Linked DNA regions of Drosophila melanogaster. The protein of the gene in region 1 interacts with the protein of each later gene in a pairwise test. Each region holds a gene or a part of one and is shown in the gene's direction. Other genes may lie near its edges. The genes, in order: Pepck1 and teq.

Region 1 (5,157 bases):
TGAAAAACAAGCAAATAAATGCCAGAAAAAGCCAAAAAGAAAGTAAAGTTTATGGGTGAACCTTTGCAATTTTCGGTGGGTTTCCAAGGACTGATTACTAAATTCAAAGCGTGTGGTGTGATGTACACTATGGGGTGAACAGCGATAAAAAGCCAATAAGCCAAGAAACCAAAAGGCAAAATAGCTAAGAAATCGAATCCCTTAAAATAGTTCATGGGCAATGTAAAGATCCTCATAGTGATGTTTTCCCTCGGAAAGTTTTCCTGGTCGACAGCACAAATCCGGGTCTGATCTATATTTAGACGAACTCAGAGGCTCGTCCACTGATAACCCGCCCGGCTCCCTCCTCCCCATTGCCTTCTTCTCAACCAATCGCATTATTGATTATGCATATATTTAGCGAATCGATCGTCTATTGACGTAAATTCCAAATAAGCCCGAATCATCGAAATGCGCCAAGTGGCGGTTAGGTGAGAACAGGAGCGAAGCAGTTAGAGTCTGAGTCCAAGTCCAAGTCTGGGTCCAGCAATTAATGCCGATGATGAAGATTATCAGGCCCAACTAGAAAAACAAGTCCATAGTTATAAATAAACCAATCGAAAATCACGGCAACGCGTGTAGACGAATTCGATTTAATTCGCAACTGGACTTTTCGTAAAGGGAGTCAAAAATGGGGACGGGGACTGTAAGAGGGGGGAGCCAAGGACCAAGGACAACCATCTGATCAGGTTTCTCCAAGGACGTTGGACGCCAGTCTCTTCTGGGTCTAGGCTAAGTGAGCGGCTTATTATAATTATTTAAAACAATTTTAATAAAAATTATATTTGGCCTATTTGTTATGAAGTTGAATTAAGCTTGAAGTTTTAAATTAGAGTTGGCAAGCGTTTTAATTTAACATTATAAATAACACTGCTACCAAATAAATGTTTACGCAACCAATGAAAAACAGAGCCATATTTACGTGCAACTTTCCCGACTGCTTCTGTTGAACTTTTTCTTCGAGTACCCAGAGGATTCTGGGTCTTCTGGTAAACTGGATTCGGGGTACAAAGTCACACCACCGGCAGCACCTTCATTTCTCCTTCCCCAAAGACAAAAACAAGAGTGGCCACATGACAACCATCCGGGCCATGCTATTCTTGGTGCGCCCCCAGAGTCACATGAATGTGAATACTGGCCTCCAAGGCGGCCATGGCCAATTGGGGAGGCCCCCGGCTCATCTGGATGCCGCGAGGGGGGCGGATTAGCATACAAATTTTCCGTCACCGATTCTACAAATAAGCGAAAGTTTTTTTCGATTTGGCAAATGTCCAAAAACGAGAGGCCAACACATGTGGTCAAACAGGCGTAAGTGGGCGGGCGCGTGTGATGTGGCCCACCATTCGATGTTGCACCAATGTAGCTATATTTGTGGCCAATGCAGCTATAGACACATCCAGAATTTACCCAGCTGCAGGGGACAACAACTGCTGTTGCCTCAGCTGTCCGTGAACTGGTTTCTATATTCGCAGCGGCCACATTTGTATCGCATAAAATCATAAATAGAATAATTAAATTAACAGCGCGAAAGTGGCAAATATCAGGGTGTTCAAAATAACAACAAACGCTTATCAATGCAAACGCACTAGAAAACGCTCTCAGCGCCACATGAAAACAACACTCTGCTGTTGCCATGTGGGGACATACCCCATATACGTATCTGTATGCCCATGCCCCCCATTCCGTAGACCCCCCCCCCCCACCCACAACCAACTCATCGTAGCTGCGCCGCCTGTGAAAAACCAAAACAATCGCCGAGCCTCCGCCGGCAGCCAATCAGCTCGTCCGGAGTTTGACCCTCTCACTCGGCGAGGCGATCGTAAAACCCGATTTGCGTGGCGATCGGCCGACTTGTTCTAGTCGCCTCGATGGCCAGGCGTCGCCGGCTGGGTATAAAAGGCCCCGGATCGGAGCAGTTGGCATCAGTTACTCGTGGCCAGAGTAAATGGAAAGATCAAGTGAAAAGCCTACTTTCAGTGGTCTGAAAATCAAGTTGATGTTTGACAAAAAACTGTGGAAGAACATATGAACGCAAAGTCCTCGACAGTAGAACACTAATTGTGATAATTACTCAAATTGTGATAAGCGAATTAAGCAAAGTGCCAAAAACCCTTTCACGCGCAGAAAAATCTAATAAAAATATTCCAAACTTTTTTTCGAGAAAAATTCATAAAAAACAACACAAACAAAATGCCTGAGCTCATTGAACAAAGCAAAATTATGTAAGTATACATTAAAGAGGTCACTCGAAACGCATTCAATGGGGGATTTTAATGGCAATTAATTTTTAATGCAGTCCATTATTTGGGGTCCCACTATCGAAGTCAGTTAATTAAATTGCAATTTTAATAACCCACTTCCCTTTTATCTCTCTCTTTCTCTTTAGCTCCGGCAATGTCTGCGGTCTGCCCCAGTTGCACAAGCTGCGCCAGGACAATTGCGGTCTGTACAGCCACATCCGTGGCATTCCCATCTCCTATGGAAATGTGGATTTGCTGACCACCGGTGTCCGTGCCTTCGTGGAGGAGGGCATCGCCCTCTGCCAGCCCGACCAGGTGCACATCTGCGATGGCAGCGAGCAGGAGAACAAGGTGCTCATCAAGAGCCTCTTGGAGGCTGGCACCATTGTGCCGCTGCCCAAGTACGACAATTGCTGGCTGGCCCGCACCAATCCGGCGGATGTGGCCCGCGTCGAGTCGCGCACTTTCATCTGCACCGAGCGGCGGGAGGAGACGATTCCCACTCCAGTGGAGGGTGTCAAGGGAACCCTGGGCAACTGGATCTCGCCCAGCGACATGGATGCTGCAGTGCAGCAGCGATTCCCCGGCTGCATGAAGGGTCGCACCATGTACGTGGTGCCCTTCAGCATGGGTCCTGTGGGCTCCCCGCTCTCTAAGATCGGAATCGAACTGACGGACTCTGCTTACGTGGTGGCCTCCATGAGGATCATGACACGCATGGGAGCCGCTGTCTTGCGCCAGCTGGCCAAGAAGGAGGAATTCGTCCGCGCCCTACACTCTGTGGGCGCCCCTGCCAACGGACAGGTGGAGCAGCCATCCTGGCCTTGTGATCCCGAACGCACCATCATCCTGCACAAGCCCGCCGAGAACCTTATTGTGTCTTACGGATCGGGCTACGGCGGCAACTCGCTGCTGGGCAAGAAGTGCTTCGCCCTGAGGATTGGCAGCACCATTGCCAAGCAGGAGGGCTGGCTGGCCGAGCACATGTTGATTCTGGGCATCACCGATCCCAAGGGCGAGAAGAAGTACATCACTGCCGCCTTTCCCTCGGCCTGTGGCAAGACCAATCTGGCCATGCTGAATCCCTCGTTGGCCAACTACAAGGTGGAATGCGTGGGCGACGACATTGCGTGGATGAAGTTTGACTCGCAGGGAGTGCTGCGTGCCATCAACCCAGAGAATGGATTCTTTGGTGTGGCTCCAGGAACCTCAATGGAGACCAATCCCATTGCCATGAACACTGTTTTCAAGAACACCATCTTCACGAACGTGGCCTCCACCTCTGATGGCGGTGTGTTCTGGGAGGGCATGGAAAGCAGTCTGGCTCCCAATGTCCAAATCACTGACTGGTTGGGCAAACCCTGGACCAAGGATTCCGGCAAGCCCGCTGCGCATCCCAACTCCCGCTTCTGCACTCCAGCCGCCCAGTGCCCGATTATCGATGAAGCCTGGGAAGATCCGGCGGGAGTGCCCATCTCCGCCATGCTCTTCGGAGGACGTCGTCCCGCCGGAGTGCCCCTAATCTATGAGGCTCGGGACTGGACCCACGGAGTCTTCATTGGAGCAGCCATGAGGAGTGAGGCCACTGCTGCGGCCGAGCACAAGGGCAAGGTGATCATGCACGATCCGTTCGCCATGAGGCCCTTCTTTGGCTACAACTTTGGCGACTACGTGGCCCACTGGCTGAGCATGGAGAAGCGTGGTCAGGTGCCAAAGATCTTCCACGTCAACTGGTTCCGCAAGAGTGCCGAGGGCAAGTTCATGTGGCCCGGATACGGAGAGAACTCCCGTGTGCTGGAATGGATCCTGCGCAGGGTCAATGGCGAATCCTGCTACGTGGACTCGGCCATTGGACACATTCCCGCCGAGGGTGCCCTAAACCTCGATGGCATGAAGGATAAGGTGGACGTGAAGGAGATCTTCTCGCTGCCCAAGGAGTTCTGGTCGCAGGAGGTCAAGGATATTCGCACCTACTTCGAGTCACAGGTGGGCGCCGATCTTCCGGCCAGCATTTACCAGCAGCTGGACGAGCTATCTTCCCGCGTAGACAACCTGTAAGAAGGATCAATGAGGAGAGTCCCATCTACAGCATCTTTACCTGCCCACACACCTGCTCACCCACTGTGCTATCCCGTACTGACCCCATCACCAACCCAATTTGTTAACCTGTCCTAAATACCTGTCCCCAATACCTTATTTAGTCGTTTCTCTAGTTCTTAAGCCGAAGACTTCCAAACTATTTATTATATAAGCAGCCATAAGATTAGCAAGTAGGCCATACAAACAGAGAAAATTAAAAAAAAAATAAAACAACACGATTTTATAACCTACATCCTATATGAGTATTTATTTATCACAAACTTGGATTTTTGAATGTTGTGAACATTCTAAACAGTATATATACAATAGTTAATATACTAATAAATGCTTTATAGCTGCATGATTTATTTATTAACGCTTCAAACAATCAGTTAAATAGATAAACAAGTTTTAATACGTTTTAGGATTTTTAAATGATTGCTAAATAAATTTCAAATGTTATAATTATAAAATGTGACACTTGTAACTAGTCTTGCTCTTGTTTCATAACTAAGACTTTTAATATTTTTCAAAATCCTAATTTATGGTGTTAATTTGCCAAGATTATAGAAATAAATTAAGTTAAATTTTTCCCACTTGCCTTATATAAGATGAAACCGCTAGATGATTTCCCAATCATCTCCTGCAACGGCTATCCACTGCATTCGCTAGCTTTCCTCGGCTCCATTTTCCAGCCCAATGGAAGGCCGCGAAAAGCTCAACAGTCGGAGCTTTTCCAGCACTTCGGATTCACAGGAATCGGGAGCCAGGAAAAAGGCAGCCAAGAATCGGTGGGCAC
Region 2 (5,031 bases), on another chromosome or scaffold:
ACCAAGAAAACAAATATGAATACAAGCACAATTTTATCTTAAGCATATACGTATGAAATTAAACGTCAATTAAAAAACAATTTATGCACTTAAATTAGGTCTAGCCATTTTAAGTAAGCCGAGATAATTATTAATTTAGAAATTTCAAAGTGAGTAAAAATGCAAAGGAAATAAAAGTGTTGCTGTCGTATAAAATGACTGTATAAATTTTGTTATTGTTCTCTTATCAACGATTAAATGATTTCAAATTAATAACTGCATTTCAATGTTTCCTAATTTCGGATAGCAAAAAAAGCATCGTAAGTTAAGGGTTAATGCAACTACAATGCCTAGCTACGGCCACACTGATTGAAGCCGTGTTATGGTAACAATCAGCTGTTCACAATGATAACAACTCGCACTGCTGATTCTATATAGTTGTTTACGTTGATTATTAGTTTTATATTAATTAAAAATGTCAGCTTTGCTTCTTTTACGCACCTGTAGAAGTTCATCAATTGCTGGCATCTACAAATACACATACCAAGGAACAACTATTGCGAATCACACATGCAATCATCGTCTGTCGTCTACAGAAGCGGCGGCCGCGAGTGTCCAACTGGCAAATGCCGGTGGATTGGTGGGATATTGGCAGACCTTGTCCAACAGCACGCCGGTGGCCTATATGCAGGATGTTCTCATTAAGATCCACGACTACAGTGGCCTGCCCTGGTGGGCGTCCATCGTGCTGTCCACTTTCCTTTTTCGGAGCGTGGTCACCCTGCCTCTGACCATTTACCAGCACAAAATCACCGCCAGAATTGAAAAGATAGCGCTGGAGATGCCGGCCATTGTGGAGGAACTGAAAAAAGAGGCAGCCATGGCCAAGCACAAGTTCAAGTGGAGCGAAAAGCAGACTCAGATTGTTTATCGGCGTTCGGTTTGTTAAAATTCAAATGTTTGCGAGACACTCTTCGTCATGTCAATTATCTTACAGATCAAGAAGCAGTGGCAGAACCTTATAGTTCGGGATAACTGCCATCCCATGAAGACCATGATTGTGCTATGGGGTCAGATTCCCCTGTGGATCTTTCAATCCGTGGCTCTGCGCAATTTAGTGTACATGCTGCCGGATCCCACGTCCATTCAAGCTCAAATCGTGACCACCGAAATGACCATTGGCGGATTTGGTTGGATACCAAACCTTACGGTGGTGGATAACTCTTATATCCTGCCTGTAGCATTAGGTCTTATCAATTTGGCCATCATTGAAGTGCAAGCCATGTCTAGAACTCGTCCTTCTACACGCTTGCAGAACATCGCCAACAATGTGTTCCGTGGATTGAGTGTTGTGATGGTTCCAGTAGCCTGTACAGTGCCTTCAGCTTTATGTGTATACTGGGTAGCTTCCAGCAGTTTTGGCCTTGCTCAAAATCTGCTCATCCTCTCGCCGGAAGTGCGACGATCTGTGGGAATTCCCAAAACACAAACGGAACTCAGTGAGCCGTACGATCTGCTCTGGCTAAAAATACAGCAGAGGCTAAGACTTGCCGAGAGGGCGCCGGCTGATAAGCCGGCAGCCAAATGATCTAGTCTCTTAGTCATAATCACCTAGTCTAATTTGGGTATGACGTTTAGTTTGTTTAAATGCGACTGCGCCACTGTAATTCATCATCATCATTCTTAAGCTCCAACATCTCAGATTCATAGAAGTAAATAAATGAGTGAAAAACCCCAAAAGAAATGCAAACAAAACAAGGCGATAAGACAGCAAAAAGGTCTTGAGATTACAAGCCCTGATAGTGTGGTCCACTCAATTGGTTTGGCGACAAACGAGAGCATCTATCAGCGGCGGCAGAGATAGAGATTCATCCCGAGTCCAATTGAATTGAAATGCGATCTGGGTGTGGGTCAGTCGAGCCTGGAATTCGAACGGGATCACAACGAAGAATTTAAAGCGCGAGAAAAACAATTGTGTAGTTGCTATCAGCATCGGTGCATTTTAAGAAATATTTAAATTCAAATACTTATAAAGCGGAAACGTAAAATGATGGCCAAGTGGCTCCTTGGCCTTTGGCTGGCGATCCTGCTAGTGGATGTTAGTGTAGAAAGTTTATTAATAATTTCAAATTGTGTTTTTTAAGGATATCATCTAGATTCTAGATTATTTACAATTTTTTAAGATTTTAGTCAAACTAAAAATGTTGTTTAGGAATTTAAAACGCGCTTAAGACTTTAATTTTAATTGAACTTAATTACAAGCTATTAGCTAAATTTTGCCTCTAATTACTTACGGTTGTTCAATAATATTTCATAATTGCGCTTTTGACAGCGACCCGGGGCTAAAGCTTATCGATCAGGCAGTGGCTACCACAGCGAGCAGTCGGAACCAGTTGGCTTATCAGCAACAGGGAACGCACACTCGAGTTACGGAGGCGACCAGCAGCAGCCTATTTACCATCGGGATTCGGCATGCCCGCCGCATTTTACGGGTCTGGTTGCATATCCCCACGACTGTCATCGCTATGTGAACTGCTTCGATGGCAGCCCCACCATTCAGACGTGTTCGCCCGGAACTCTGTTCAATGACAGGACCCAGGTGTGCGATCATCCCAGCAATGTGGTTTGCCCTTCAGCGGAATCTGCATCTACTCGACTGGGAAGACTTAGGCAATTAGATAGTGAACCCAAGTGTCAACCGGGAGTGAATGGATTGCAACCGCATCCTTCGGATTGCAGCAAGTTTCTTAACTGCGCCAATGGTCAAGCTTTTATTATGGACTGCGCACCAGGAACTGCTTTTAGTCCAGCATCACTGGTATGTGTGCACAAGGATTTGGCCAAATGCGGATCGGGAACTGGAGCAGTACGAGATGATACCTCCGGCACCGGTACGTATGAGTGATTTAAATACAAAAATCTTGACTAACACTCGGTTAGGCTACCCTGCGTTGCCTTTTGATGACTTGGGCTGTCCACCCGGTACACGTGGGCTTCGTCCACATCCGCACGACGTGCACAAGTATTTGAGGTGCGGAATTGGGGTTAAGCCTCAGGTGGAACAGTGTCCACGGGGCCACATCTTCGATGGCTCCTCTTCGGTATGTGTGTATTCTGACTCCCCTCGGACCTCCTGTAAGTGTCATTTCATTTCTTATCCCTACTGCTTGGCCTCGCTTGATTCATCTGCTTTTTCATTTCGGGTTATTTTCTCATATTACGCTGTACACGCTTTGCTTGCCTGCTTAGTTGATAGACTCTAATCCTGATCCCTTTGAATTGTAACAGCTTCCTCCTTCACGTCGGCTGAGATTCAGGTCAACTATCTCTTGTGTCCAGTGGGAGCCGTTGGCCAATTTGTTCATCCCTTTGATCAAACAAAATTCCTTAGTTGTAAGGATGGTAAATCGGCTGTGCAAAACTGCCAACCTAATTATGTGTTTAGCATATCGAGGCGCTACTGTCAGTTAAAAGCACAATTAGCCTTTACCGACTATGTCACATTAATTATCTCCGAAATCAGCTATGAGTATTGTAAGTTACTTTATCATCACTGTACACTAGAATTTATGATAATATTTTACTAGCACTTATCCTTAATGCCTGTCCTGGTAACATCAACGGCATCTTCTTGTATCCCTACGATGCTAAAAAGTACGTTCAGTGCTCGTCTGGTGGCAGAATGTCCATCCTAAGTTGTGGCCCCCAGATGGCATTCAGTGTATCCCAAAGAAGTTGTCTTCCAAGTCATCAAGTGCACATATCTGATCGGGTGCAGTTCTGGCAGGAAGTCCAAGTTCAGACCACTTATACTTCTCAAGACTTACGGGGAAATGTTCAAAGCCAGCTGTCTTCACTTAGATCGTGTCCACCCAATGTCCAGAAGAATTACCCTTATCCATTCCATGCTGGCCACTATGTCAGGTGCCAATATGGAGCATTAGAGATCATATGCTGTCCCACTGGACAGCTTTACAGCCTCTCCCAGCGTCAATGTGTGCCTCGTAGCCTTCTCTCTGCACATGATTACTTGGATTACTCCTATATCAGTGCTGAACTTTCCAGTAAGCATCTCAAGGAATCTTGATGACTTGGACTTGATTTCAGACCACTTTTTCGTTTACAGCTGAGTTTATGGTGGATCGTTCGACGCTTTCTTGTCCTCCACAAGCACAGGGACTCTATCTGCATCCCTTCGATTGCACCAAGTATGTCAGGTGCTGGAATCAGCAGACCTTCATTGAGAGTTGTGTAGTATGTGCCTATGCAATATTAAGAACAATTAAATAAAATAGCATATTAACTTATGGCAGCACTTTGTTGCTATGTTTATGTTTATGTTTATGCACGCAGTTAGGCCAGGGCGGATGTAACATGATCACCCACTCGAAGGCCACAAAGTATAAGTGCATTGCCCACTCGAAGGCAAAAAGTATAAGTGCATGGTCAGCATTCACACGCCGACCAAATACATATTACATACGTACATACATATCTCGCTCTCCCGATAAGCCTAGATATATAAGATATACATAAGAACGCCGCTCCGCTGCTGGCGTACCCGGCAGCGCAGCTACGCGGATTAGCCTAAGTCCAAATATATAAAAAACTGTAAAATCGGAGAGACTCTGTAGACGTTGAGCTGACAGAACCATTTCTGCCTACTCTAAAATCAAAAGAAGAAATTGAATAAATATATGTCAGCCCGACGGCTGCCTTCAACTTAAAACGGACTTGTGTTCTTAATTGGAGTTCATCATTACATGGCGACCGTGACAGTCGTCCAACGCTGGACGAATTGACCAAAGCTGGTGAAAACAAAGGAACAAAGGAACACTGGACTGGAAGAAGACTGGACTAATTAAATGGAACTGCAAAAACCAAGGAAAAATCTGAGTGAGTAGAGTTCTATTGAGTATGGGCAAACACCGTGGCGGTTTGAAAACTAAGCTGAATAAACGTATAGCCCACGTAAGGTGGCTAATATACGGTCAGCAAACGCCACCGGTTTGGTCGAAAGCTCTAAAGCTACATGCAGAGCTAGACCACTTG

The links.
Region 2: the proteins of Pepck1 (region 1) and teq interact in a two-hybrid assay, tested with the Drosophila melanogaster proteins (one large-scale study listed by BioGRID).

Annotation. Positions count from the first base shown.
Region 1 is NT_033778.4:18,534,809-18,539,965, forward strand, and holds Pepck1 (phosphoenolpyruvate carboxykinase 1), read left to right. Parts: upstream 1-1,958; 5' UTR 1,959-1,984; coding exon of another isoform or gene 1,985-2,068; 5' UTR 2,069-2,229; coding exon 2,230-2,261; intron 2,262-2,425; coding exon 2,426-4,337; 3' UTR 4,338-4,608; downstream 4,609-5,157. Other genes in the region: CG45087 (uncharacterized protein), read left to right, coding at 1,985-2,068. UniProt on the Drosophila melanogaster protein: Catalyzes the conversion of oxaloacetate (OAA) to phosphoenolpyruvate (PEP), the rate-limiting step in the metabolic pathway that produces glucose from lactate and other precursors derived from the citric acid cycle.
Region 2 is NT_037436.4:9,072,753-9,077,783, forward strand, and holds the start of teq (tequila), read left to right. Parts: upstream 1-1,890; 5' UTR 1,891-2,026; coding exon 2,027-2,077; intron 2,078-2,311; coding exon 2,312-2,870; intron 2,871-2,919; coding exon of another isoform or gene 2,920-3,114; intron 3,115-3,267; coding exon of another isoform or gene 3,268-3,513; intron 3,514-3,566; coding exon of another isoform or gene 3,567-4,043; intron 4,044-4,105; coding exon of another isoform or gene 4,106-4,269; exon of another isoform or gene 4,270-4,704; intron 4,705-5,031. Other genes in the region: CG4942 (uncharacterized protein), read left to right, coding at 455-919, 977-1,567.